Linked DNA regions of Astyanax mexicanus. The protein of the gene in region 1 interacts with the protein of each later gene in a pairwise test. Links are inferred from orthologs where the notes say so. Each region holds a gene or a part of one and is shown on either strand. Other genes may lie near its edges. The genes, in order: hoxa1a, ccn3, chrd and slit1a.

What was found.
Region 2: the proteins of hoxa1a (region 1) and ccn3 interact in binary tests that used the Homo sapiens proteins (3 or more experiments, as listed by UniProt). The link is inferred for Astyanax mexicanus from reciprocal best matches to the Homo sapiens genes HOXA1 and CCN3.
Region 3: the proteins of hoxa1a (region 1) and chrd interact in binary tests that used the Homo sapiens proteins (3 or more experiments, as listed by UniProt). The link is inferred for Astyanax mexicanus from reciprocal best matches to the Homo sapiens genes HOXA1 and CHRD.
Region 4: the proteins of hoxa1a (region 1) and slit1a interact in binary tests that used the Homo sapiens proteins (3 or more experiments, as listed by UniProt). The link is inferred for Astyanax mexicanus from reciprocal best matches to the Homo sapiens genes HOXA1 and SLIT1.

The regions. Positions count from the first base shown.
Region 1 is NC_064410.1:62,517,578-62,524,898, forward strand, and holds the start of hoxa1a (homeobox protein Hox-A1a), read right to left. Parts: upstream 3,005-7,321; 5' UTR 2,040-3,004; coding exon 1,385-2,039; intron 525-1,384; coding exon 172-524; 3' UTR 1-171. Other genes in the region: homeobox protein Hox-A2a, read right to left, coding at 5,948-6,693, 7,213-7,321. UniProt on the Homo sapiens protein: Sequence-specific transcription factor. Regulates multiple developmental processes including brainstem, inner and outer ear, abducens nerve and cardiovascular development and morphogenesis as well as cognition and behavior.
Region 2 is NC_064413.1:15,499,491-15,507,487, reverse strand, and holds the start of ccn3 (CCN family member 3), read right to left. Parts: upstream 3,003-7,997; 5' UTR 2,937-3,002; coding exon 2,886-2,936; intron 2,769-2,885; coding exon 2,555-2,768; intron 1-2,554. UniProt on the Homo sapiens protein: Immediate-early protein playing a role in various cellular processes including proliferation, adhesion, migration, differentiation and survival. Acts by binding to integrins or membrane receptors such as NOTCH1.
Region 3 is NC_064425.1:10,794,724-10,802,211, forward strand, and holds the start of chrd (chordin), read right to left. Parts: upstream 3,002-7,488; 5' UTR 2,752-3,001; coding exon 2,616-2,751; intron 1,509-2,615; coding exon 1,405-1,508; intron 1,286-1,404; coding exon 1,159-1,285; intron 142-1,158; coding exon 1-141. UniProt on the Homo sapiens protein: Dorsalizing factor. Key developmental protein that dorsalizes early vertebrate embryonic tissues by binding to ventralizing TGF-beta family bone morphogenetic proteins (BMPs) and sequestering them in latent complexes.
Region 4 is NC_064432.1:26,599,460-26,607,150, forward strand, and holds the start of slit1a (slit homolog 1a), read right to left. Parts: upstream 3,008-7,691; 5' UTR 2,208-3,007; coding exon 1,990-2,207; intron 1-1,989. UniProt on the Homo sapiens protein: Thought to act as molecular guidance cue in cellular migration, and function appears to be mediated by interaction with roundabout homolog receptors.

The DNA.
Region 1 (7,321 bases):
ACTGAATGGTCAAAAGTTAAAAAAAATAGTGCATTATCGCGGCTCATACCGGTGGGCATGTCCAGTTATGTTGACGCACTCTAACTGCTACAAAGTTTGTGGCCAGAGTCATGGTTGTCAACATCATCATCATCATCTTTTTCCCATCAATAGAAAATAATATTGAGGCCTTTAGCCTGAAGAATAGTGGTCAGCAGATGTGGAGGCAGGAGATGGAGTTGAAGGTGCAGAAAGAGACTTTTCGGACATATCCTCCGCCTTTTCTGGACCATCTCCTGGTTCAGACACAGTCTTGGGCATCAGACCCTCTTTTTCGCGTTTCTTCTGCTTCATGCGACGGTTCTGAAACCAAATCTTCACCTGAGTCTCGTTCAGCTGGAGAGCGGCAGCTATCTCCACACGCCTGGCACGGGTTAAGTACTTGTTGAAGTGGAACTCTTTCTCCAGCTCTGTTAGTTGTTTTGTGGTAAAATTGGTGCGAACGGTGTTGGGCTGCCCACCGTAACCGTACTCTCCTACTTTACCTGAGAAATAAACAGAATGAAGGTCATTAAACACACAATTTACACATTACTGGAGTATAAATGAGATTTTTAATTTACTGCATTGAGTTTTCAGTCTTTTATGAAGCAGAAGTAAGAAGTTGTTGTGTTGATTTGCAAAAGTAGTCTTTCAAAATAAGTATTTAAGATGTAGGCAAAGCCAATTAGACTGACTTATTGTGACAAATTGTATTTTAGAAAAATGTAGCAGTTTCAAAGTAAAGGTAAAAAAAAAAACTTAGATATTTGAAGACTTTAGTGCTCCTCACAGAACTTTTAGAAACATTATTACACCAATTATTTAATATTCAAGAGCAGGATATCTGACACACAGTTTTATGACAGTATAAAGATAAACATTTGATTGGAGAGGTATGTTTTTTAAAATATTTTATTTTGTTCAGGGACACATAAATCTCTGTAAGGCAAAAAAAAGAGTTATATTTGCAATAACAATTAATGGACCTAAATATCTCTTAAAAACTTCAGTGCCTCTAAAAAGCTGCTTCACAAAGTTTTTTTTTTTTTTTTTTAACAAGATGGTTAGGAATGAGGTTCTTGATTAAACTGTTTTACAGTAGTTTAAAAATAAAGTTTTTTGAGCAAAATCATTTTATATTTTTTAATTATTGAATGGCTTAAAGACACATAATGCAAACCAAAACCCCTCTATTATAATGACAATACAAATGCCTTATAATCAGCAAGACCCCTGATCAAGAACTCTACAACTTCATCTTAAGCCATCCTAAAACGAATGTTTAAAGTTAAAGTTAAACTTTTAAATGAAAAGCTTTTTTAAAAAGATGAACCCCTTTCCCCCCAGACCTGTTTTTATGTACCTGTTTTTGGGGGGTTCCTCTTAACCTTCATCCAGTCAAAGGTCTGCGCCGTGGACAAGCCGTCTGACAGAGGTGAACAGCACGTATCGTGGTGGCCATGCAGAGGAGATAGGTGGTTTGAGCATCCCCCCACGAAGGTCAGATTTGCCTGATCCTGACCATGACCGTAGGCTGCGGCTGCGTACTGAAGTTGCCCGTGATGTAGGTGCGCGTTGCTACCGCTGTAGCCATGGCGATGATGATGAGGATGATGAGGATGGTGAGGATGGTGGTGGTGGTGCTGCACAATGTTTCCAGAGTAGACCAGGGGGCCGCACTGAGCGAACCCACCAGTCGTATCAGCGTCCTGGTTCAGGGGGTAGGGATTATAACCGGCGCAAAAACTTTGGCTCCCGTAGGACGGGTGCGCACCGTAAGCGATTGACAGGGTCCCGGAGGACTGGTAGGACCCAGCCTGATTCGGATGACTGGATACGGTGTCCGGTGATGCCCTGTCGGACAAGAACCGCTCGTTTCCAGAGCAGTTGTTCACCGTGACCGAGCACGACTGGAAAGTTGTAATTCCGTGATCTGTGTGAAAAGCTCTAACGGAGCACGAGCCCCCGCCACCTCCGTCCCCGCCGCTCATCACGGAGTAATCTAGGAACGTGCTCATTCTGGCATCTTCCTGACCGGACTCTCTAGGCGGTCTGACACCACCAGACCTTCAATCAGCGCGCGTTTGGAGAGTACCGCGCGAGGCTGATATGAATGAACACTGACAGTCACGTGAGCCGGGTCAGCCAGTGACCAGTGGCTTTGTTGGGTCTTGAGCTTGAGTGGCCTCGCGCTGACAGATAGTCGTTAAAGAGTAAGCTTATGTAAATTCCGACCTCTTGTCGATCAATGACGTCAGCGCACCGATTGGGTCCTACTCGTAGGAACAATTGATGGAACAGCAGAGCGCAGGAGTGGAGGAACTAAGGTGCACGGATGCTGAGGAGCGATGGGCGTGAGAGAAACGTGTGTGAAGTATCCGACACTTGAACCATCAGGTAGGACAAGTTCGAGACCAATGGAATACGTGATTTTGCAAGGTCAGAAATCAAAAGTCTAGGACCACACAAATAGCGGTAAAACGTAAATCGTTTGACTTCTATATTTACAAACGCGTTTTTACTGGTCCCTGGATGTAAGCAAGGTTTGTTCATTCCCGGAATTAAACACACCTTCCTAACCTGACAAGTGACTAAAATCAATAGTGTTTGAGCCGGCAAGCCGTATGCAAGACCGGACCAGAGTTTAGCTTCTCTAATTAGTGCATGGCTGTATCCGTGATAAATGCTAAACATTTGATTCACTCTGTAGATCTGCAGAACATGTCTTAAATATATAACCATTGCTTGAAAAAAAAGAGTAGAGTGTGTGTGAAGAGCATTGAAAAGATTGGCAAAAAAGCTTTACTTTCAGCCAAGGCTCTTTAAACCTTTAAAACAAACAACAATAAATAATACAAATAACAAAATATTATATTAGGTAAGAACTGTAAGAATTGATCTATCACCTTTATGTGCAGGTTATTTTAACATTACAAAGATTTTTCACATAGAATTTAAGTGTTTATTTGCTGATTAGCTTCTATAAACACATTAGCTACTTTCCACATTCTGTTCTAACAATGAACACTTTTAATTTTGAAAGCGCTAAAAATGGTACTTTAAAAAAGTGATAACATTGTTTGTAATAGAAACATGAAGAATATTTTTCTAAAATATTTTTTTGCAGACATTAAAAAGTTCCTCTATGACAGACATAGAGGTGAGTCAAACTAACTGTATGACAGAATCTGTGAAAGCAACTTTTTTTCAAAGTTGCAAGGACATTTACATAAAAGATTCACAATAATTTAAATATCCTCCCTTGTATATTAACAAAATCTAAAGATTCCTCCACTCCACTGAAGGGTTCTTTAGGGAAACAAATGTGATTATTCTATGGCATAGCTCAAACAGCCTATTGTAGCAGCTTTATTTTTAATACTGCACAGCATGAAAATGATAAACTAATTATTATTTGTTTATGCCAGCCTGCAGTGTGGCATTTTCATTACCTGCCTATGATAATTTGATAAGGGTGAAAGTTAATTTAATGAACCCCAGAGTTCCAGCGTTATTAATAGGCACTGCAGTTCCCTGGTGGAGAACAATATTAATCCTAATTTGACCTTAAGTGTTTCCAAGAAATGAATGGCCTTGTCTAGTCCTTAAGTTTTCCTTGTAGTTGGATTTAAAATAATTCACACACAAATATTAAGAGTTAAATACCTGCTTAATATGTTTATTAGTTTATTGTAATGTTTCTTGGATGGCCAAAACACAAAACACAGATAAGCAGTGAAAGTGAGAAAGTGTGTAAGGAGTGAGGGTCAGCGCCCCCTCTGGCTGGAGGAGAAATAGCGCCTGTTTTGTTTTTCGTGTATTTTTTTCTTCATTCAAAATGGCGCTGAGTGTTGAGCAGGATTTCTCATCTCCTCCTCTAACTTCTCACATCCTGCCCCCTCCCACCCCCACCCAGAGGGAGAGAGAGAGGAAGAAAGAGAGGGAGAAAGAGAGAGAGATTTCTCCCACGCAGAAACGCTTGTTCTTCTTTGTGAAAAGGCTGAAGAAAGCTGGAAGTGACATGAACATGTGTATGTGTACGATCGGGGAAAAAAAACTCTTCCCATGATTTGTTAGAGAGGATTTGGTGAATGAATATTTCACACTCACACAGGGATATATGCCTGTATTCACATATATTATAAATATTGGTGTAAAAAATTAATAGGCCTTCGACGCTCCGGTGGGATTATTTATATAACTTACTGTATATGTTTAAGCGTTTATATATATCTTGGCTAAGACAAAAAAACGATATGTCTAATATGTAAAATTAAACACATAGAATAGAATTTTCTTTTCTCAGTTTCAATATTATTATTATTCATTTATTTGTATTTTTTGGTGGTAGTAGTATCAGCATAGTGGTCTCAAAAATGCACAATAATAATAATAATAATAATAATAATAAATATAATAATAATAATAATAATAATAATAATAATAATAATAATAATCATTGCCCAACTACTACGACTAATTAATAATAAAATGTTACTACTAATTGATAATAAAATTAGCCATACAATTAGCCATAATAATATAATAGTATAACAATAATTGGACACAGACATGTCCCAACAACTTGACCCATAGTTGTATAATGTACTTAAATAGCATTAATGTTTCTAATGTCATGACACAACACCGTAAAGGCCAGAAAACCCACTTCCACTTCCAGAGTTGAAATGAATGACTTGTCCATGCGCTATAAAAACGCCTCTTACGGAGGTTATGTACACTGGCCTTACGCCTGGTGTTAAAACGGCAATAAAAATGAATTATTACCGATCGTCCCTGCAGGGTTTTCTCTGCGCCCCAAAACAGTCTCAAACAATCTCAAAATAAGAGAGAGGGAGACGCGACTGGGCTTTTATTTGCGCGGACGTCACTACCATTGTCTCGTGCTGTCAGGGTGTATGAAAGACTTTGATTTATGAGTTGGCAGAGAACGAAACATCCCAGGCATTTCCCCACGCGGAGCCTGGAGCAGAGCCCCAAACAAAGAGCACAGGTCCAGAAAAAAAATCAGCCATGTTGGGGTTTTACAGCATAGAGGAAGAAAGTTTGTAAATTTGATAGATGGTGTAACTGTAAACCTCCTAGCACGCGCTACACGAGAACATGAGTACTTACTTCTTTTGGAGTGGCTGTGCTTATCGGTGCTTATCAGACAAGAGAACCAAACTAATGTGTTTATAAGCATATTTATCAAATCTATTAAAGTTAGAGTATGAGAGTAACTATTTTATTTCTCCCTTTCTTATTATATTCTTATTACATGTTTCGTGCGATTTTATTTATTTAGTTTCTTTGAGTTATATTATTTTATTTCAAGTCTGCAAACTGTTTTGTTTGTTTAGCAGTAGACCAGCAAGGCTGCAACTTTTAAATCACCAATTAATCTAACAATCTAGCCCGTTTACAGGTTTTTTTTTTTGTTCAGTTCAGTAAATAATATCTTAATGTGTTTTCTCAATTTTTCCACCACTGGCTTTATTAATATTTTGAAAGAGAAGTGCATTTTCATAATACTGTTACTACTTTAGCAATGCTATTATTTTAATGGACAAAGATGTGTAATACAATGTGGTGTATCTGTGCAGTTTGCATTTAAAAAAGCTGTATTACATTTTTTTTACCAAATTGTAACTATGACACATTTTTATAAACAAGCACATTTTTATTCTAACAAAAATATCTGTTACAAAAATAAAAACAGTCGAATCCATCTTTAGCTAAAACCTATTCATTGGTTCGTTTGTGCGTTACTGCATACAGTCTATGATACACAGCATTCTATGCACAGAGAATCTTACCTTTAACCATTTAATGTTAACCTATCAGGAAGATGTGCCCATCTGACAAATAAGCGATAACAACATATCCTTTAGATGAAGAGCACATCATTCCAGTGTCGCAGTTCTCAATAGTTCAGATGCTGCAGATCGATTGTACTTAAAGCGTCCGTGAAAAAGCAGAAGTTATCCGTGGATAGATGCTCTGGGGTGCTCAGACACTCGGACAGTGTCGGCGAAGCGGCGTCGGACAGATGTAAGCACGAATCCGCAGAGAAACCGTGGAAGTCCTTCAGAGACACGTCCAGAGTCAGCGGGGAGCTGCAGTTGTCCGGGCTGGAGGAGGGCGGTCTGTGGCCCGATAGCGTGGGTGAGGGGCTGGAGACGTGTTTGTGGGCTGGAGACGTGTCCAGGTCGTTAAGACCGAGGGGCGACATGGAGAAGTTGTGAAGCTGCTGAGAAACTGAAGATGACTCCGGTTGAAAGGAACGCAGATCTTTATCCGGGAGGGCCCTCGACTCCTGACCGAGGCTAGGCTCGAACACAGAGGTCTCTTCATCGCTCTGCGCACCACTGTCCTCCTCAGCCGCTGTGTTCCTCAGCTTTTCCTGACCGTCCTTGGTCTGGGTCTGCCGCTTGTGTTTCATACGACGGTTCTGAAACCACACCTTGACTTGACGCTCGGTCAGGTCCAGTAAAGCTGCTATCTCCACGCGGCGCGGCCGGCACAAGTACTTGTTGAAGTGAAACTCCTTCTCCAGCTCCAGAAGCTGCGTGTTTGTGTATGCAGTCCTCAGCCGGCGAGAGCCTCCTCCTCCCCCTGCTTCTCCTCCACCGCTCGCCAAACCAACCTCGGTAGGAAGCTCGGGTGAACCTGGAGCACATAGAACAGAGTGAACATATGAAAAGGAAAAACAGCAGTGTAGCCGAGAGATAAAAATCACGCAAGAATCAGGCCTATCTCTGGAGGTGGCCGTAGTGTTGTTGGCTAAGTCACCGTGGTGCACTCTGCACAATCCCCATAAAACAAGATTACGAGTATAAAACAAGGGATCTGGCAGGACTTTGCAGCTCATAAATTGCAGTGCTAAGCTATGTGGCGCGTGCTCCCCTCCACTCACAGTGGATCTAATGAATGCACGAGCAGTCCCACGCTGGACAACAGTAATCCATCATTCTTCATTGCTGTCAGATATGTATATAAATAAAAAGTCTCGACTGTAGGATGTTGGAGAGTGTCAGGACAGGAAATGTGGAATAGTATTTACTATTAGTAATTGTACGTGAAGAGATTATTGCGTTATAAGGATCTAAGCAGAGCACGGAAATTTTATTACGCATACCCCTTCATGACCCCCATAATTTCTCATATCGTTCACCCACTCCCACTCACCTTTCGGAGAGAAGCAGATGACGGGGCCAGCAGCCGTGGGCGCAGCGGTGGTCGTTTGAGGAGGATGGTTGTGTTTCTTGGAGGCCTTCTTCTCGCGCATCCACGGATA
Region 2 (7,997 bases), on another chromosome or scaffold:
GCCCATTTGTAAATCACGTGACTTTTGGCACAGTTTTAGCAGAGTCGCAAACTCGTGTTGAGATTTTCTCACAAATACACCCAACCCTCGTACAAATGCATCGCCCCAGAACAGCAGGTGGCGCTGTGGGACACTTTACGAGAGGTGGCTGCACAGCAAAGCAAGCTCTCCTATCCAGCGCTCCCCAGAGCATTAATTTACACTTATTAAGGTGTTTAATACACCTTTAATAATCACAACTCTACCATTTTATACCCGATTTACACACGGTTTGGTTTGTTACAAACAGCAGAGATGTAATTATGATATAGGACGCTGTTACACATCACAAATATGAGCTTTCATGCTGAAATACTTTGTATTATGCTCTTTAAAAAAGAAAGAAAAAAATATTAATTGGTGTTTAAATTATATAGATAGATAGATAGATAGATAGATAGATAGATAGATAGATAGATAGATAGATAGATAGATAGATAGAGCATAATACAAAGTATTTCAGCATATTGTCAGTAAATTTGCAGCATTTATTTGCAGAAAATGAGAAATGGCTGAAATAACAAAAAAGATGCAAAGCTATTGGACCTCAAATAATGCAAAGAATTGTAGATTAGTTTCCAGAGGTTTTCAATTTGGTAAAATCAATGTTTTTTTTTTTTTTTTTTTTTACCATTTTTAGGTGGTCTTTCCTTTTGTCCAGATCTATCTATCTATCTATCTATCTATCTATCTATATTACAATTTAAACACCAATTAATATTTTTTTCTTTCTTTTTTAAAGAGCATAATACAAAGTATTTCAGCATGAAAGCTCATATTTGTGATGTGTAACAGCGTCCTATATCATAATTACATCTCTGCTGTTTGTAACAAACCAAACCGTGTGTAAATCGGGTAATGGTAGAGTTGTGATTATTAAAGGTGTATTAAACACCTTAATAAGTGTAAATTAATGCTCTGGGGAGCGCTGGATAGGAGAGCTTGCTTTGCTGTGCAGCCACCTCTCGTAAAGTGTCCCACAGCGCCACCTGCTGTTCTGGGGCGATGCATTTGTACGAGGGTTGGGTGTATTTGTGAGAAAATCTCAACACGAGTTTGCGACTCTGCTAAAACTGTGCCAAAAGTCACGTGATTTACAAATGGGCTGTGCGTGTTCGTGAGTCATGACACGGTAATGTTTGAAAATAATGTTTTACTTGTTTTATTTATTACTTTTTGCATTTGTAAAACGTGTTATATTTGTTTGTAAAGAGCAATGTATTAGAAAACAGCTGTGTATTTATTTGAAGTTTACATATATATTTACAACCATCAGGTTTTGTGTTTGTAAAACACACCGTGTGTGTTAGAGAGTCGAGTTTTGTATTTGTAAAACGCGTTGTGTTTGTTTGCAAGTAGTATCATATTTACAGAATACGTTTTCTTTATTTGCGTAGTTTTGGCACTAATTTAGCTCCATAGGTCTCCTTCTTGGGAACACATTATCATGTGGGATGAGTGTTTCAGCACACCCATAATCTAGCATGTAGCCTATTTTATTGTTTCCCAACCCTGTATGTTAGTTTTGTTTTTATTGTTGTTGTTTAACACACACACTTTAATTTAGTAATGTTCTGATTATTGGGATTAGATGTGTTGGGAAAAGGGAAAACACTAAGAATGCAGGGCAGTGAGGGTCCTATGATTGTCATGATGTGGAAAACACAGACGGAATCACAGAATTAAGAAATCAAAGTGGAATTCAGATACAGATACACATACCAAACACAGCACTCTAGGCTGATGCTGGTATTATTACTATAATCTAACCAGCACAGTGCCATTCATCTGTTATCAAACATCAGTCATTAATTTAGCTCGGAAAACAGTTAGCATCGCCAGTTAGCGGTAAGCATCGTCAGCTAGTAATTAGCATTGTCAGCAAGCGGTTGGCATTGCTATTAGCATCGCCATTAATCCATTAGCATTGCCAGCTAGAAGTTAGCATCAACAGTTATCCATTAGCATTGCCAATTAAAAATTAGCAGCACAAATTTTCTATTAACTTTACCAGTTAGCCATTAGCTAATCAGTTAGTTTGCCATTTTAGACTTCAAATTAAAAGCCCCAGGGCAGAAAATATAAGAGAACAGATTTATACTAAAATCAATTTATGTATTGGCTAAAATAATAAAGTACATCCATGTTCATTTTATTTAGACTGTTCTAAGTAAACGTTTGTCAAAATATTGTCAAAAATCTAAACTCTGTTCAGATCTGCATCACATTTTTGAGCATTTTGTTTAAGAGTTGTATCATTTTTATTTTAGAGCAACATATTTCAGCTATTAATGTAAAATGTCTTATTATACAGTTAAATTATACAGTTTAAAAATGTTCAGTTGTAAATGTGATTACTTTAGATTAATTAATCACAGCACCTGTAATTAATTAGATTTTTGTATTACCTGACAACACTATTAAAAGCTAAAACCCGAAAATGTGACGATAAAACCGAAACCGATGATGGGAAGTTTCACCTCATAATAAGTTTCAATCATATTTCATAACGCACCTACACACACCCCGCTCCTGCGGTCGCAGCGGAGCCCTCTCCGGGCATCACAGGGCGCGCGCTGTGAGCAGGTCTCTCCGCGCTGTCTCGCGCACACTCTGCAGCACGCGCACTCCGCCGGGACGGGATGCACGCCGGGCGCGCACACGGCGGGGTCCTCCGGGCAGCGGCAGCCCGCGGGGCAGCGCGGACGCGCCACGGAGCACAGCGCCACCTGGAGGAGACGAAGCAAACCAAAGACATGCGGTCAGTCAGTCGGCAGCGCTGTCTGCGTGCACGCGCTCCCGGTTACCTGCAGCCTCAGCCCCATTAATAACACTGATTTACCCACCTGAGAGCAGAAGAGCAGAGCCAGGCTCCTCTGAAACGCGCTGCTCAGCATGCTCGGGCCGCGGGAGCTGCAGATAACTTCTTCAGGGTCTCTCTGAGGAAACTTTACTCTGCAGTCCGGCCAGGTGTGGGAATTTATACACTGCTGCAAAAACGGGCGGGAAAAACAACCGCGCTGCTTTTCCCACCTGTATTCAGACTGGGCCCGCCTTCTGCGCAGGGATTAGCCAATCGCAGTGCACATGCCTCTCAGCCTACGCTCTACGATTGGGTAATAACTTTCCTGAGATTTGACAATGGTGCATATCAGGGAGGGGCGGGAGAGACCGCAGAAATTGAGGCTAATAATGAGGCGGATACTGTTTATAATACTGAGGATAATAATTTTGCGAATATTAATATTAACTTATTGAGACCCTGTGTCCCCATATGGGTACATTACATTTCTGCTTTTCTGCACCGGAATACTTCATTTTTTTTAAAACTTTGACCATTTGAGTCACTTTCATATGTGGTCCTAAATCGGATACGTATCCAATCCATGGACATGTGGCAATATTGTGAACCGTCAAATCGGAATGCATGCGTCTTATCATGTTCCAACACATCTCTTTGTGCAGCTGTTTGCTCTCCACTCGAGCTGCTAACTCATCCATTTCCCTTTATAAAGCTACAGGTCATCTCTCAAATATGACGTTTTTTGTTGTTGGTTAAGAAGGTTACACGTATCAATGTGCGCAAGTGAGGCATTTCAGGGACATTTGTTCACATTACACACAGATACAGCTTTGAGCAATGTGGCTTTTAATGTGAACATAGCCATGGAAACATTGCCTGTACCATCTAATGGTCACATGACAACATTACTTGTTGTAGGCTGTAAAATACTGTTTACTCTATATCATTATCTTTTTCCATTTAGTTTTCTATCAGTATTTGAAATCTATATTTTACATAAATTAAATAAAAAAGAAGAGTAAATACAAATCTGTTTTATTCACCTGACCAACAATAATACTGAGAACAATATCGAGGCCAATACCGTTGATAAAATTTAGAGCAATAGTGAGGATAATAATACGATTAATTCTGAGGCAAATATTGAGGATAATACTGAATTTTTATTGAGACTCAGGCTAATACTGAGGCTGATATTGAGTGCAGTAGGTTAAATATAATGTAGATACTAATAATTTAATAAAAGGAAATAAAGAGGATTAACACAATGTACAAAAATACATTTTAAATATTATTATTTGTAGTATTTGGCATTTCATTAGAATGGACCAACACAGATATCATACCCATGTGGGGCCTGTATGGGTTGCCAAACTTAAAACCTCCACATATGAATGTCAGTATCAATAATGAAATGAGGCTTCCCAGGTGAGCATTGTTAATAACAATATGCATTATGCAGTATTTTGCATATTCAAAAACTACGGAAACCAGAGATTTTACCATTTTGGAACTCTTTCGCCGTATTAGCTGATATTTCCTACGTAAAACTTGGAAATTCCAATATCTGGATTCAAATGGAATGTGTAATTAGACCTTAATTAGGTTTGTCAATAGCTATAATTAGGGAAGGTCAGCTGAATTAAATTTCCAACTTTAAATCTATGACTCTTTAAACATTGTACTAACACTCAGCAACCATTCACTTTTTTGAGCAACTGCCTAATCACCTATTATCAAAAGTAATACACTGCCTGGACAAAAAAAAGTCTCCACCTGGATTTAACTAAGTAAATGTTGTGGGGTTGATGCTGCAGTTGGTCAGGTCTAGATTCAGCAACAGTATGTGCTGAAAGAATGAGGTCAGCTGACTACCTGACTATACTGAATATAGACCAGGTTATTCCATCAATGGATTTTTTCTTCCCTGATGGCACGGGAATATTCCAAGATGACAATGTCAGGATTCATGGGGCTGGAATTGTGAAAGAGTGATTCAGGGAGCACGAGATCATCATTTTCACACCAGACCTTAACTTCATTGAGATTTTTTTGAGATCTTTGGGATGTGCTGGAGAAGACTTTGTGCAGTGGTCAGACTCTACCATCATCAATGCTGCAGGATCTTGGTGAAAAATTAATGCAACACTGGATTGAAATAAATCCTGTGAGATTGTGGCAGCTTTTTGAAACAATGCCACAGTGAATGTGTGTCGCAATCAAAGCTAAAGATGATTCAACAAAATACTAGAATGTTAGCTTTTTTTGGATGGCAACTTTTTTTTGGCCAGGCAGTGTAAATCTATCAGTTTCTACAGTGTGGAATTAAAAGAAACATTTGGCTTTTCATTTACATTGTACAAAAGAGATCAGATCACATGTTAGAGTAGGGCCTTTATAGGTAGCCCAACTAGGAACCAGAAGGTTTTCTCCATGGGTTTCATGATTATCACACATATGTACGGTGGCCGAGAAAGCCCAACGCAGTGCAAATTGAAAAGCGCTGCAAAAGCACAAAACACATCCATCAAAATTACAACACAGGCGCAGCAAATAGAAAAACGCGCTGCAAATAGAAAAACGCGCTGCAAATAGAACCACAACACAACGGAAGTGAGTCACAACACAACGGAATTTTCCCGGGGGACCTTAAAAGATACTGTACCAGCTAAGCTGCGTCTTCAGTAACGTCTCGGACTTCACTATGTGTACAAAGGACAATAAGTGGCAAACAAGGCGTTTTGTGAAGCAGAACTTTTAATAATATGCACACAACCGTGGTAATCACAGGTAATAAACATAACTTACTTTTCAGAAGCTTGTTTGCCACTTATTGTCCTTTGTATACAGCTGGTACAGCATCTTTTAAGGTCCCCCGGGAAAATTCCGTTGTGTTGTGACTCACTTCCGTTGTGTTGTGGTTGTATTTGCAGCGCGTTTTTCTATTTGCTGCGCCTGTGTTGTAATTTTGATGGATGTGTTTTGTGCTTTTGCAGCGCTTTTCAATTTGCACTGCGTTGGGCTTTCTCGGCCACCGTACATATGGCTACACTGGTAGAAGTTGGACAGTACTGTGTGTACAACTAATTTAAGACAAATATATATATGCACTGCTTGTGTAAACACAATCTTCATAAAGGAGTTCTAAGAAGGAAACCTTAACTGTGACATTTTCACATTTTTTTCACAATGTTAAATGTATGGTACAGAAAAACTAGACAGATGAGTTTTACAAACTAGTGCTGTTAGGTTTGTTCTATTTTCTTAATCTTGTACTTAATATTGGGAAGGATCTGTAAGTCTGTTTAAATTTAAATTATTATTTATTGATTAAAGATTGTTACTGCTGTTTAGAATAACCAGGTGAAACTGCTTTATAAAGCAAGCATATAACATCTTGTTTCAGAAAGAGACATTATGTTAACATATTTCTATGATCTTTGTACCTCTGACCTTTTGGGAAGACAGATTGTATTTTTTTTCCCGTGATTTGTGTAAAGTCACATTCTTTGGTTATAAATCTCACCTCCCCAGCCGCTCCATGGAGAATGCTATTTGTATATTGACACTGGACATATATAAATCACTTTTTGCCGGTAGTGGACCTTTTAGCAGCATCACAATGGGAGGGCAACATTTCTCACATTTTCCAAAATGCTGAAAGCCTGTAACTGCATCTGTTCAACAGAGGGTCCAAGCTGGATTCTGGAGCAGTTCTGACTGTATTAACAGTGGTGAGCACTAGCTTTTTGACTGTTTGACTCAGATAGTTGACAGTGCGTACACTAATTAACCACAGCATGATAACCACCTGCCTAATATTATGTAGGTCGCCCGCATGCTTCCAAAAGTAGCATTGACCCATAAATACATGGACTTCAAAAGAGCTCTTAAGGTGTCTGGTATCTGGCACCAATATGTTAAGCTGTGAGGTGAGGTCTCCGTGGATTGCATCATGGGTGCCCATGATCCTGTCGCCAGTTTACTGGTTCTTCTAGCTTTGAGCTCTTCTGTAGGTACTGGCCACAAGACCAGTCTGGTGTTTTAGAGATGCTCTGCCTCCCCAGTCATCTAGCCATCACAGTGTAACCTTTGTAAAAGTGTCTCATATTATTATTAAGCTTGTCCATCTTTCCTGTTTCTACCACATCAATTTAAAGACTGACTTTTGGCTTGACATGTTCCTTTGTAATCAGATAATTCATGTTATTCACTGCAAATCCAAAGTTAGGGGTGGGCAATATGGCCCTAAAATAATATCACAATATTTCATGGTATTTTTTTGCGATACCGATACTCTTGGCAATATGACAAAACACTGAGTAAAAAAAATATTTAAAGAATACATTACTGCAACAAAATAAAAATTTTATTTTATTTTTGCATACGCTATAGCACACCCCTAACTGAGATATAAAAAAAAAATACAAGATTTTTTTTTCAGATTTGTAACAGAAGTCAATGATCCAGAATGTCATGATACTAATAATGGCTCCATATTTCTCCATATATCCAGGATTAAAGTAAAATAAATGATGCTGGACAGATATATAATCTGTCTCTAGTAGATATATAATGGTAATTGAGAACAGTGTGAATTTTTCCTTTTGCTAAAAACAGCAAAAAATGTAGCATCATGATGTGATAATTAGGGGTGGGTGATATGGCACGATATTTCAGGGTATAATATCGTTCATGATATTTAAAAATGTTGGCGATATTATTTTGTACGATACAATATGGCACACCCCTACCCAAGGTTATAATTGCTATGGATGATTGATGTATGTTTTGCATAGCACAGTTGCAACGGCAGCCTAATTATTAATGATTGACCACATTTGTGCACAGTAAAATTACTGAAGACAAGACAAGTGGTTTACAATACAATTTTTTCCATTTGCTTAATCAGTCATAATTCAGTTTATTCAACAATTAATTATTTACTGAGAAGTGCAAGGCACACAATGTCACATCCTTGCCCTGTTTCCTGTCTGTTCTCATGTCTCTGTGTGTTATCCCCATGTGACCCGTGCTCCTCTGTGTCTCTTCCCCAGTACTTTTCCACCTGTGTTCATTTGTAGCTCCGCCCCCTAGCCCTAGGTGTTTCCACTTGTGTGATATATAGTCCTCCTGTGTCAGTGTTTGCTTGTCG
Region 3 (7,488 bases), on another chromosome or scaffold:
CTGTCTTGCTGTCTCCGGTGTTCATCTGCTCGGAGCTGAGGTAGGACCGGTCGTTGTAAGATTTGTGAAGGTCGTCCTCTTTCTCCTGGAAGAACTCGAAGCCGTCAAACAGAGACTCTGTGGCTTTCCTGTCTGAATCACCTGCCATCAAACACACACAACATCAATCAGACTCCACACTCAATCAGCTCATCAATACACAATACAGTCCTTTATTAGCTGCTTAAATGATGATAATAATGATGATGAACAGTACTGTCTAACACTGTGTGTGTGTGGTTAATACTATATTATTGGGTATTGGATGCTGGATATATGATATTGTAGAGCTGGGCAATATAATGATACTGTATCTTATAATGATAAAATCATGATATCAACGCTGTCCAATTAAAATCTCAAAAAAAGTCTTAACCTCCAGTGAAAGTCAATGTAAAAAAAGAGTTTATTTCAGGTAACTTTGGATCATTTCTCTGGGTGCATTCCTCAAGAAAGTGTTTTCAGATTATGCCATATCGAGGATATATTGAGGATATTAAATATAATGTTTAATTGGATGAGGTGCAGAAAAATATGTAATAGAAATCACTGCAATGAAAGAGTGCTCTTTCACCATTTCTACCCATTCGTTCATTAAAAACAGAAACGAATGCAGGTGGTCTTGTGGTCTGGGGTGAATATATAAACGAGTATGTGAGTGTGTGAAAGCACTTTCAGAAATTATAGCACTCCATCCATCTTTCATTTACTCCTTCATCCATCCATCCATCCATCCATCCATCCATCCATCCATCTATCCATCTCAAGCTACAGCCAGGGATTTTCCAACAGGCTCACGCAAACACACACACACACATACACACACTTTCCCACAGAAACATAAACACTGTGTGTGTCAGGGCCTCCCAAACACTCCACTCTCTTTCCATTCATTCAGTTTCACCAGCTGAAGGAAAACATACAATTACTCAGGTGTGTGTGTGTGTGTGTGTGTAAGGGAAAGTTTGCGAGGGTGCATGTTTGCAGGTGTGTGTATGGGTGTGTTTTAGAGTATACACTGTGTATATATATATATATATATATATATATATATATATATATATATATATATATATATATATATATATATTTCTAAGTGAGAGGGTGTGTGTTGGGTACCTTTAGGGCATGTTTTGCAGCAGTGTCCCGGCAGCAGGACGGGGTCGTCACAGCTGGGCTCGGGGCAGTCCTGCTTTATGTTCTTGCAGCTGACTTTCCCAAACACCTTCCCACGTCGGCTCCTCTGCTGCTCACACACACACACAGAGTATATTAATTCATTAGTATCAGGACTCTAACCTGCCGGAACTACTTTCTGTTTATCAGGAGATAAAATCAACAGTGAGGTGCATAAGTGGGACTTACTGGTTCGCAGTGACACATCACACAGTGCATCACACCGAAAGGATCTCCGAGATCCGGATGCCACATATCCTCCAGAGAGTAAAACCTCCCACCAAACGAGCATCCTGCACAATAAGAGAAAGAGAGAGAGAGAGAGAGAGAGAGAGAGAGAGAGTATTATATTGAGGAACAATGATCATTTCATCATTTCATACAGGCCTACTATAAATTGTGACTTTCCGCATCTGGAAGTTCAATATACAGATTTGAAAGAGTAAAGAGTTGAAGTAAAGAGTGGGATAAGTAGGTGCAGCACAGCCTCCTAGAGAAGAACCCCACTAAGATAGAAATACAAGCACAAGAAAAAGACTATGTGAAATTATCCCTGTATTGGAATTCCATGCAAAAAGATAATGTCTGTGTGTGTTTTCATTTTTTGGTTTTTATCTCTTTGTGGGAACTTAAGTGTGTATAGGCTTTTGTACAAGGGGAAAGAGGGGGTTAAAACGAACAAGGGTATGACTAAAATGTTTTCTGACTGGTTTGATTAAAATGACAAAAAGTAAGATTTGGAAGAGATTAGAGACGGCTGGAGGGGATGTGTGTGTGTGTGTGTGTGTGTGTGTGTGTTAGTGTGTGTGGTTACAGGCATCTGGAATGGTGTCAGAAAGCCCCTCAGCTACAACTAACAGACTCATAGAAAGATAGAGAGAGAGAGACGTCCAGGAGCGGGTCAGGGAGAGACTGACCTCCAGAGCTGAAACTGGAGACTTGTCAGGGCCAGTATTTGATTGAATTAGGACACACACTCAAACTCAGTGATGCTAAAACACACACATACATATAGACGGTTCTGTTTGTATTCCTATCTTTGTGAGACAATTCCAATTCTATTTGCTTAAATGCAGTTCCTTATAAAGTTAAACTTAAACCCTTACTAAAAAAACAACACTATCTTTACCCACTCACTTTTACTCCAACATAATAAAACTAACTTATTGACTGGCATCACAGTCTTTGTGTTTACATTTATACTTTTGTGGGGTATAGTAAATCCAATTAATAGATATGTAGAAATGTTGTGCTGCATCTAAGTCATTCCTTACTTAAAATGAATTTATCATTATATCACATGGTTTTGCAACATTCTGGGGACCTCAGATAGTTTCAGGTCCCCACAATGTGCTAAATACTAAACATACACACACGAACACACACAGACATTGCCGTACCGGACACTCCTTTGGAAGGCAGCGGTTCTCTCTCGGACTGGATGGGAAGCGCAGGCGCCTTGGCTCGGGAAGCGAGTGCGAGTGTGTGCGGGCTGAATAACACACACACCGCGGCAAGCAGCGGCAGGACATCCATCCTCGAGGTGGAGATAAAGAAGGAGGAGAAGAAGCGAAGGAATAGAAGCGCACTCGTCCTTTTCTTCCCTCTGTTTTTATCTTTGTGTTTTCAGTAAGTCCGTCTCTTCGTGTAGATCCAGCAGCAGCAGCAGCAGAAGTCCAGCTGATGTATCGTGAGAAGCGGCGTCTGCCTCAGTAAAGCTGGAGGAGAGTTTGTGAGAGTGCAGTGTGTAAGAGAGTGTGTATGTGTGTGTTAGTCTGAGTTGAGAGTTGTGATAACTCTGCGCGAGCGCCTGTCGGTTTTATACACGGGCGAAACGAGAGGGGAGGGGAAACGGGAGTGGGGGGAGAGGGGGGGGGGCGGTCTGGACCGGGGGGCGTGGGTTTACCTGTGGTGTGAATGTGTGTAGTTTAAGTGTGTGTTTATGTGTAAGTGTGTGTTTGATAGGTTAAGACAGGTTAAAAAATTAATAAATGTTAAAATAAATAGTAATTAAAAATTGCAATGCAAGTACCATATTAAGCCTTAAGTATTTATCACTTTGTGGGGACCTCATAGTAGAAATCTGTATAGGTTGACATTGTGGGGACCTGTGTATTTTATATATCATTATATCATCATTTAAAAAAGAGTCTAAACTGACTATACAGTTATTGGCATAAGGAAATGCCATATAAAGGTAGGAATACACAAACACATAAGCAAATGTATGTGTGTTTGTGCGTTACATATATATATATATATATATATATATATATATATATATATATATATATATATATATATATATATATATATATATATATATATATTTAGAATTGTTAGCATAACACCTTTTACACACACTCACATCTGTGCAATTTTTGTTTTAGCATCTCTAGGCTAATTGCTATGCTGTTAGCATAAGGAAATGTCCCATAAAGATAGGAATACACACTGGTGTGTGTTTGTGTGTTAGCATCACAGAGAGAGAGAGAGAGAGAGAAAGAGAGGGAGATGGAGGGGGAGGTTGAGATGAGGATTGGGTTAGCTAGGTGCAGCACCTCCTCATACAGAAGAACCCAACTAAAATAGAAATACAAATACACAGAAAAGACTGTGTGGAATTATCCCTAAATTAGAATACCATAGGAAAAGATCATGTCTGTGTGTTTTTATCTCTTTGTGGGGACTAAATAATAAAACAGTGGTAAAAGGGTGACAGGGTTACAGAATCAACCTGATTTTACACACAGATATGTGTGTATTCCTTTGTTTGTCTTTGTTCGGCTGACAGTGGCATTTGCACATTTGCATGCATTCAGTACAAGGAAATGGCCCAGAATTTCAGAAATACACACTAATGTGTGTTTGTGTGTGTGAAGTTAAGGTAAGCACATATGTGTGAATGCTGTTGTGCTACATATCTAACCCAATTCCACATATATACATACATACATATATACACAAACACACATAAGTGTGTATTCCTGTCTTTGTTTGGCTAACAGTGGTGTTGATGTGCAGTTAGCATAAGGAAATGGCCCACAAAGACAGAAATACATTCCAATATGTGTGTGTGTGTTCAGTCTAGAGTCAGGTTAGCAGTGTGTTCCATCTATCCTGCATGCTAATTTAGTTAAAGTGATGCTGACTTATGGTTAGCATATGAAACTGTCCAACAAAGACAGAAATACACACTAGCCACCTTTAGGCTTTAGTCTGTGTAGGGTAAATTTGGCTAACAGCTGTGTTGGAATGTAGTTAGCACATGGAAATACCCTCAAATACAGTAATACACACACTAGCTATGTGCTAACCAGAAAGAGAGAGCTTGGCTTTAGTGTGTGTAGGCTAATTCTGTCTCACATTGGCATTGTGTTTAGGAGTTAGCATTAGGAAATGTCCCATAAAGCTATGAATACATGCTACTGTGAGACATTTAGGAAGTATTAACACACTTATCTGTGTGTTTGTGTGTTAGCATTACTAGGCTTTGTGGTGTATTAGCTAATGGTGTCACTGACATTGCATTTGGCAGGTAACATTTACAGGAAATATCCCATAAAGATATGAATACATGCTGAATACATTTGCACACATATGTGTGTGTTTATTTGTGTATGTGTGTTAGCAGTGTTAGCATCTCTAGAGTTTAAGGTGTATTAGCTAATTATAGGATTTGAATTGTCTTTATCGGTTAGCATCTACAGGAAATGTCCCATAAAGGTATGAATACATGGTACTTTATGAAGCTAAGGCAGCGTTTAAACTTATCTGTGTGTTCACTTTTAAGCACTTTTTTAAGACCCAGACAAGTTGTTTTATCTTAGTTTATCTTATCAATGATTTTAATACTTCACTTCACTTGTCAGAACTCTAATTCGTATGCTGTTAACCAATGCATTGTTTGCTAAAGTTTTTGTAAAGTATACATTTACAATATCCATTTTTATACAAAACAAAATTAATTTTTTTATTTTATTTTTTTTTTTACTTTTTTTCTACACTGGATTTTTTTTTTACCATTTTCTGTAACAAACTGACTGGACCTGAAGATGGGGATGAATAGGGGTGTTCTAAAACTTTTGGCTGGTACTGTATATGTGTGTTTGATAGCATCATTGGGCTTTAATGTGTATAGGCTAGTTATAGCATAACTACAACAGCATCCTTGGATTTCAGGTGGCTAATGTGGAATGTGCTGTCCCACAAAGGCAGGAATACATGCGCTGGTGTGTGTGTGTGTCCTGGATGTTTATTTAGGCCTTACACTCTGTAAGACACTTCAAGTGATTTAGCAGAAACAAATAAAGATGGTTTGAATACCTCCAAAATCCAGAAGCACCTCACACTCATCCCCCCCCCCACTGGCATCCCTCCATCCACCCCTCTAACTCCCTCTTTCCCCCCCTCCTGTTTTAGGACACTTTCCCAGCAGACACTCAGTCATATTTACTGCTGTTCTCTAAACCTGGATCTTCACACCGCAGGTCTGGACCCTCCTCGCTCCTCATCAGTCAGCTCTAACTGTAAAAACACACCTCAGAGATCTTCTCAGAGACCCCCAGAGCTCTGGGACGAACCTAACGAACCCAAAGCGATACTTCGGTACAGATTGCCTTCCGTTTAAACCGATAAAATAATAATGCGGTATTCTTTCAACGCATTACCGCTAAAACCCGACTGCTATTTGATTTTTATTCCGAAAGGAACCTTAGAAGCGCCTTTTTAAAAATAAAACTAAAAAACACCTGTGACCCTGTGATGATAAAAGGGCTCATCAGAATCTTTTATCCTTTAATATTGTCTTTAAGAGTTGATTATTAACCCAGAACAAAGAACCGGTCAATGTTTTAAATAACTGCGACTTTAACATCCAAACGCAAACCGATTTAGATCAATCACATCATAATGTGAACTCATTAAAGAGCCGCAAAATGACTTTCGGACATCAATCAGAACATCAACGAACAGTTTCCCTCTCTTTCATTTCGCTCCTTTGTCTTTTGTTCTCCTTTCATTTATGAGTTATTTTAATTTCCTTCCTAATGATTATAGCGTTTTGTTAGTTGCTTTCAATGCCATTTAATTCTACTATTTAAATTTTTTGCTTTGTATATTTACTATTTATCTAATCAATTAGATAAACATAATACGTTTTGTTAAATATATCAGCTTATTTGCTTTTTTTTTACCATAACACCTTTATGTTTAAAAAATATTGTAATTAATTTGTTTTAATCATTGTGTTATTTTTTTATTATGTTTTCATTTATTTTTTTTGTATACATTTTATTTTTTTCAATAGTCATTTTAATAAATGTATTCTACTTTAAACATAATTCTACTTTAAATGAAATAAATACATATTCTGCATTTTATTTTTTGTAAAATAGCTTTTAACTATTTTTTATTTTACCATTGGTAAATATATGTCCATGATATATTTAGCTAATTCTGGTTTGTCTATTTTTAAAATTCATTTCTTCAAAACCTTAATTCGATTTCTTTTAACAATTTTAATTGGTAGTTTTAAAAAGTTTAGATTTGCTACATTTTAGCATTTTATTGATTTAAATGGCGTTTAGTTAAGTATTTAATTGCTTAGTTAAGTACTAAATAATAATTTCTAAAATAAATCTTATTATATATCTATATTTTATTATCCTTATTATCTTAATTTAATTTTATGTTATTTCAGTCAGTCTCAAATAATAATAATAATAATAATAATAATAATAATAATAATAATAATAATAATAATAATAATAATAATAAAAGTTATTATTTAACTGATGGGGGGTTATATCGTGTTGCCTGGTTTCAGTGTGGGTTTCTCTCTGCGGGTGGGGGCGGCAATTTCCCGCTCAGGAAGAGAGTGAGAGAGGGGTAAATAAGGTCGGACTAACGGGGTAATAGAACCATAAAATAAAAATAACAGCGTAATAAAGACCCGGGGAGCTCGGGCGGAGGGAGCGCCTCATTCCGGACCTCCACCCCGCTCACCATGCACATGCTAAAGAGGGCAGAATGGGGGCACAAGAGAGAGGAAACGGGCAATAGAACACTGACTGGGGTGGGGAGGGGGCAGGTGGGGTGAATTGGAAAGAGAAAAGAGAAAATAGAAAAGACGAGCTTGTTCTCTACCTGTAGGAGGTAAAACTACAAAGAGTGCGGGGAGAGTGAGTGGATGAGTGGAGTGGGGTTTTCTTCTGAGACTGAGGCTTCCCAAAACTGAAGAACGTTGAGCAAACGTTCATTCTTTCTTTTGGT
Region 4 (7,691 bases), on another chromosome or scaffold:
CTGCTTTATTTGCTTTAGCCTCTGGTAGCATGCACTTGCACATCTTCCCCTACAGAGCCTGCCGGGAGTCATTCATTCTTCATTCATTGTTGTGAAAATTTTACTCTTAAAAAAAAAAGGCATATCAACCACCCTAATCCACTGTGCAAGATCTGGCTGATTATATTAATATATAGTGCTTTTCAAAAGCACTGCAAGTATGTAGTTGTGCAAGCAACCTGCGAGAAGATCATCATGCAAAAGCATGCATCTACTAAAAGCATCCTTTTAGGTCACTTTTTTAACCATAGTTGATTAGTTAAGCTCTTTTATACATGTTGTCTCTAACACTAAATAATAAAAGTTTAATGTGTGCAGGATCTAAGTTTCTAGGCCTAAGAAAAGAGAACCTGCAAGAAGATCATCATGCAAAAGCATGCACTTAATAAGAGCATCCTTTTATGCCATTTTTTAAACCTTATTTAATTAGTTAAGCTATTTAATATGTGCATGTTTCTAACCTTAAATAAATTTTAAAGTGTGCACCATCTAGAACCTAGGGTTTAGAAGGAGAACCTGCAAGAAGATCATCATGCAAAAACATGCATCTACTAAGAGCATCCTTTTATGACATTTTTATGACATTAGTTGATTAGTTAAGCTATTTAATATGTGCAGTTTTCTAACCCTAAATAACAAACATCTAAGGTTCTAGACTTAAAAAAGGAGAACCTGCGAGAAGATCAAGATCAAGCAAAAGCATGCACCTTATAAGAGCATCCTTTTTAATGCCATTTTTTAACCTTATTCGATTAGTTAAGCTCTTTAATATGTGCATGTTTCTAACCCTAAAGTGTAAAAGATCTAGGATTCCAGGCTTTAGAATGAGAAGCTGCAAGAAGATAATCATGCAAAAGCATGCACCTACTAAAAGCATCCTTTAAGGTCATTTTTTTTAACCTTAGTTGATTAGTTGCAATCTTTCATAAGTGCAGTTTTCTAAACCTAAATAATACAAAGTTTAATGTGTGCAACATCTAAATTTCCAGGCTTTAGAAGGAGAAACTGCAAGATGATCATTGTGCAAAACATGCACCTAATGTATCCAGCAACTTTTGACCATTTTGGTCACTTTTTCAGCCACCAACTATAGTTGATTAGTTAAGCTCTTTAATATGTGCAGTTTTTTAACCCTACATAAAAAGATGAGTGCAAGATCAGGAGTTTTAGGGCTTAGGAGCAGGAGAACCTGAAAAACGTGCACCTAAAACTAAATGCATCCAGCACCTTTTGACCTTTTCGGTCACTTTTTCAACCATCAACCATAGCTGATTAGTTGAGAGCTTTCATATGTACATACATTTTAATGTTGCACGATCTAGAACCTAGGTTTTAGAAGCAGGACAACCCAAATAAACGTGCACCTTTAACTAAATGCATCCAGCACCTTTGGACGTTTTTAGTCACTTTTTCAAGAGTTGTGTGGTTTAGAAGAAGGAGAACCTAAAAAACATGCACCGAAATCCTTTTTCAACCATCAACATTAGTTAATAAGTTAAGATCTTTAATATGTGCACTAAATATATTTTAAAGTGTGCATGATCTAGAACCTAGGGTTTAGAAGGAGAACCTGCAAGAAGGTCACATGCACCTATAAGTATCCAGCACCTTTTGACCACTTTGGTCACTTTTTCAACCATCAACCTTAACTCTAAATAAATATTAAAGTGTGCACCATCTATAGGGTTACAGGTTTTAGAAGCAGGAGAACCCGAATAAACGTGCACCTAAAACTAAATGCATCCAGCACCTTTAGACCTTTTGGGTCAGGTTTGACTTTTTTGCAGTTTTTGCAGTTGCAAACCTGCTATTTCAGGTGCTACGTTTCTAAGTACACAAGTACAGGAAAGTGTGTGTCCTGAAGAAAAGTGAGCAAAAAGAAGGGTGTCCAGCCGTGACCCTTAACTGGTTTTAAACTCTAGAAACGCGAGGAACGAAAGGTTTACTCACAGCCTCTCCGTGTTCCTGGGTATATTCCTGGGAACGGTCTTGAGCCCCAGTCCGTGGCAGTCCACCGTGGTGCCGCTGCAGGTGCACAGCGCAGGACATGCGCTGGAACCACCGAAGACGACGGCGCTGAGAAGCATCATCAGCAGTAGCGGTGGTGGTGCCCACTTCCAGCCTCCGGAGTAGCTTCCCCTGATCCCTGTGATCCCGGTGATCCCCATGATCCTCACGAGTGGTGACGGCGCCCCTCGCCTTTCTCTTTCTTTCTTCCTTTCTTTATCCGGTGCGTCTTCTTTCTTCTGCCTTTTTCTTCTTTATCTTTTCTCCTTTCCTTGCTCCTCCCAAACCTCGGACAAAGCCGGCAGACACTCTTTACAAGTAGTGCTTCTTTTTCTTCTTCTGCTTCCCCAGTTGTCTCCTTCTTGTCTTCTTCTGCTTCTACTATGTCCAGCAGAAGTCTTCCCAGGTCCAGTCGCTGCACAGCCTGGACAGATGATGGACAGATCTTGAAAGGTATGGGACGGGAATAAGTGTGGTTGGTGTCCTTTTAGGAAGGGGGACGAGGGAATGGACACTTAGTTTGAATGGTCTTTTTCCAGGCTAGTCCTAGTCTTTTCCTCCTGTTCTTCTCCTCAGGGTTAGTGGACAGGAGTGTGTCCTCTACAGCAGTCGCTCTGGACTTCCTAAAGAAAACTCTCTCTCCTTCTGTCTCTCTCTCTCTCTCTCTCTCTCTCTCTCTCTGTCTCTCTTTCGTCCCTTTCTCTTTCTCAGTGTCTCTCGCCCAGCCACACTCTCTCTGCCTTCCCTCTCTTTGTAGAGTCTCCGAGTTTGCGCCTCTCGCTCTCTTTTTCTCTCTCTTTCTCTTGGCGTCTGGTTCCCTCCCTCTTCGCTCCTCTACTGACTGCCTACCGGGAGGAACAGGGGGAATGGCAAAGAGAGAGAGAGAAAAAAAAAAGAAAAAACACACCACACACACTCTCTCTTTTACACACACACACATATACACACACAGCAGTCATCCATCACAAGGATCTACAAATAGCAGCCCCCAGGCTCCTCCCACCTCCCTTCACCTCCCCTCCCTTACACCCACTACCCCTCCCCCTTCCCCAAACGTACCTCCCAACACACACACCCCTTACACACACACACACACATACACACCCCCCTCAGAACCCTGCCTGAACCCACCATACCACCACCACCACCTCCTACCCCCCACCGTCGCCCTCCACCAACCACCCCCCCACCCCTCCACCCTCCACTACAGTCCTTCAGGCGTCCGATCAACTCAGAGACCAACTCTCAGACCGGACCAGCCGGACCCGCTAAACCCCCTCCAACACCACCACATACACCACCTTCCCCTCCACCTACTACAATACTGGGTACAATACACGATACATGTGTTAATAAAAAGAGAAACACTGTATCCCTTTATTTGCACGGTCCGTTGCAAATGCTTTCTTGATGCTCAACTAAACGTCTATTAAATGCATCTGTCAAAATTCAAGTCTAAGCTGAAAGTAAATGATTCTCTATTGAATGCACACATTTTAGGGTTATGTTTAAAGATAAAAACAAGGTTTGGGTTAGATTTAGGGTTTAGGATAAGATTAGGGTTAGTGTTAGGTTTAGGGTTACAGAATTAGGTTTAGTTTCAGGGTTAGATTTAAAGTTTAGGGTAAGGCTAGAGTTAGTGTTAGATTTAGGTTTTAGGGTTAGATTTAAGGTTTAAGATAAGGTTAGGTTTAGACTTGGGTTTAGGGTTAGTTTCAGGGTTAGATTTAAGGTTTAGGATAAGGTTAGGATATGGTTTAGGTTAGGTTTAGATTTCAGGATAAGGATAAATTTAGTTAGAGCTAGGTTTAGGGTTAGTTTGAGGTTAGATTTCAAGTTTAGGATAAGGTTTAGGTTGGGTTAAGGGTTAGGGTTAGATTTCAAGTTTAGGATAAGGTATGAGTTAGGGATAGATTGAAGGTTTTAGGATAAGGTTTGAGTTAGGGATAGATTGAAGGTTTAGGATAAGAATAGGGTTAGAGTTCTATTAAAAAGTTAGGATAATTTTAGGGTTAGATTTAAGCTTTAGGTTAAGGTTTGCATTATGGTTACGTTTTAAGGGTAATTTGAGGTTAAAATGAAAGGTTTATGGTTACCATTATGGTTAGATTAAAGGTTTTGGATAAGGTTATGGTTAGGGTTAGATTTAAGGTTTAGGAAAAGGTTAGGGCATTTTAGTACCATAGTTACATGCTGTTGTCTTTTTTAAGAGAATGGAACTCATGCTGTAGAGGGTTAATCTCAGGACTACACTAACCCTGAGTCACCGTGTCTTTAGCCTTTAACCCCTGAAGGCCTGAAGGACGGCTCATGCTTCACATTCCTCCACCTCAGATGACTTAAACGACACAGGCGACGTGTTCGGTTTCATCGCGGCCGGAAGAATAATAAATAAGAGACATTCGAGATTTAGCCAAATTTGTGATTAATGATTTCCTGAAGATATTTTCCTGAAATGTAATCCAATCGCATTAGTGTGACGTCACAGATTTACCGTTTACACCCTCTGTGTTTATATATCAAACCCCCCCCCCCACCACCAATTCCACCCCAACACCCGGAGAGGGCCAGGCGCGATCATCTGATGAAGATGGGGGGAGGAATGTTGCGGGGGGGTTTGGTTATATAAAGCAAACACTGAGCTTTTGTAGAAGCTGGGAGGTGGAGGAGGTGGAGGAGGTGAAGGTGGAGTTGTGGTAGCAAAGGTATGAAGAATGTGTGGAATTACAACCATTTTTCTACAAAGCCGCCTCATTTCAGGGGCTCAGAAATAATTAGACAAAGAAACTCAAAAGCCATTTCATATCAGAAATATGTGGATTTGCCCCCCCCCCCCCCAAAAAAAAATACAGCAGAAAAAGCAGGAGCTGTTTAAAAAAAACTTTTATTTTGAAAGCACGCCTAATTCTGCACCCCGGCCATGAAAAGCACCTCCTCTCGAGAGCACATTTCCAATTAAAGTTTTTTTTTTTTTTTTTAATCAGGAAGACGTAGGTGCACACTCCCGAGAAGGGGTGCTTTTTCTAATCTACATATTTTAGGGTTGGGTTTAGGATAAGGTTTGAGTTGGGGTTAGATTTTTAATTTAGGATAAGAATATGGTTAGATTTAAGGTGTAGAATAAGGTTAAGTTTAGATTTTAGGTTTAGGATAAGGTCAGAGTTGGATTTAAGGTTTAGAATAAGGTTAGGGCATTGTAGTACAATTATGCAAATAATTTATGGACCCAATGGGGAAGATGAATGGCTTTATATGGTGGTAAAATCTACCATGTATCTAAACGATACAGCAACTAGAATATACACTTTAGTTAGCAATTTGAATAATTAACGTAAAGGAGTTAAAGAATTTGGAGTGAAAGTTCAATGTGTGCACTTTTTCATGAAATGCCACCATAAAATGTTGAAAATAAGAAATAGAAATAAGACCTAACAGGTTTACGATAGAGAAGGTGTGGTGGTGTTGGTAATAGATGTCTCCTAAAAATGTTTAAAATTAGGTATTAAAGATATTTTAAATGGTAAATATTAAATAAACGTACGTGCTCTTTAATCGAGTGACTATACGCTATACGAGTCTGGTGGCTACAGAGCAGGTATGGAGAATGTGTGAAAAATGTGTGGTAAAAACTTATAGACAAAAAGAGAAAAGGAGAAAAAGAGAAATAGAGAAAAAGAGAGAAAACAGAGCCTCGGAAAGCCTCAGAAGTATCATATCAGTTGTCTGGCAGCGAGAACACAGTGGTGACCTGAGACGCTGGAAGTAAATGAGCCAGCAGTTGAAAGATTGCAGTTTTATGGCTCTAATGGAAGCATTTATTTTGTGTTTTAAAGCGTAATGGTGCTCTAATACTTCAGTAACAGCTTTTTCTGCAGTTTAATAGTGTCGCCTCAGAGACGATCCAGAGGAAAAAAATACACCAGATATAACGCACTGTTCAAATAATCAAACACGAAGCCGCCGGCGCGGCTCTACCAAAGAGAAAACAGCTATAAAATCCTAAACGAACGGCCCGAACGCGCCTGACCCCAGTCCACAACACGGAAACGACCGATCCGTCCGTGTCGAAACAAAAAGATGTAAAATTAACAAAAGACAAAAAGAAAAACACACATTAATCAGAGGAACTGAGCAGCTAGATCCTTTCAGATCCCACTGTAAACATTACCGAGCAGAAAGAACCTTACTGGTTGTACGGTGTTGCTATGGTGTTTTAGGTGGTAGCAATGGTTCTGGTAAGCTGTTGATAGTAACACTTTAGCAACCATCTAAGTGGCTGCTAAGCAGTCGCCAGGTGGTCGTTATTGTAAGTTGTTGCTAGGTGGTAGCTACAGTGTTGCTACGTGGTTGAAGGTGTTGCTATGTGGACTCCCAGGGGATTGCTATGTGGCTGCTAAGCAGTTGCCAGGTGTTTGTTATGGTTTTGTTAACTTGTTGCTACGTGGTTGTATGGTATTGCTACGTGGACTACAAGCAGATTGGTATGTGGCCGCGAAGCAGTTTCCAGGTGTTTGTTGTGTTTTCGGTACGTTGTAGCTCAGTGGTAGCTATGGTGATGCTTTGTGGCCTACTTTGTGATTGTTATGTAATTGCTTGTAAGTTGTTGCTATGTGGTTGCTATGGTGTTATGTGGTTTTATGATGTTGCTATGGTAGCTCATGAGATTGTCATGATGTTAAGTAGCTTCTAGGTGCAACTGTTAGGAGGTTGCTGTGGTATCTCAGGTGATTGCTTTCATTTTGGTAGGTTGTTGCAAGGCAGTTGCCATGGTGTTGGTGTGGTATTCTATGTAGTTCTTATGGTTTCAGTAAACTGTACCTTGGTTGTTGCCATTGTGTTACTAAGTGGCTGCTAAGCAGTTGCTAGGTAGTTGCTATGGTATTCCAGATGGTTGTTATGGTTTCAATAAGTTGTTGCTATGTGATTGTATGGCTTTGCAGTGGACTCCCAGGGGATTGCTATGTTGTGGATAAGTAGTTGCAAGCTGGTTGCAATAGTGTTACTAAGTGGCTGCTAAGCAGTTGCTAGGTGGTTGTTATGGTGTACCAGGTGATGGTTAAGATTGTCGCGAGGTTGTAGCTATGTATTCCACGTATCCCACAGGTCAGTAAATAAGATAAAGCATGAAAGATAGTGAAGGAATGATAAAATAATTTACTAATTCAGTGTAGAATCACTAACCACACAATTACACAATTACAGCCACATACTTCACATTTCTACTGTAACCAGGTTCTTAACACGACCATTAATCACCAGATAAACCTCCAAACCGCTCAGTTTAAGTCCTGAAATTAGACAGTAAAGTCCAGTCCGTATCAGAAGGTCATCTGAGACCAGCTTGAGGCCCCCCAGGGCCAAAAATCCAAAACCCCACTGCAGTGCTGCAGTTTCCCTCCGCTAAACGCATTCCTACAGAGCCAATCATCTGGCAGCGCAGTAAAGCATGCGACTGCGGCTAACACATCGTACCCTCCCGACCACGGTTACGCTATATATACACCATCACCACAGCTATTCCCAGCGCACCAGTGTAAAACACCAGCGTTACAGAGCTCATATCATCAAAAATCCATTCAGACGTGAAAATAACTGTGTAATGTAGCGCGCAAACATGCTGCATTCATTTAGCTTTACAGCTAAAC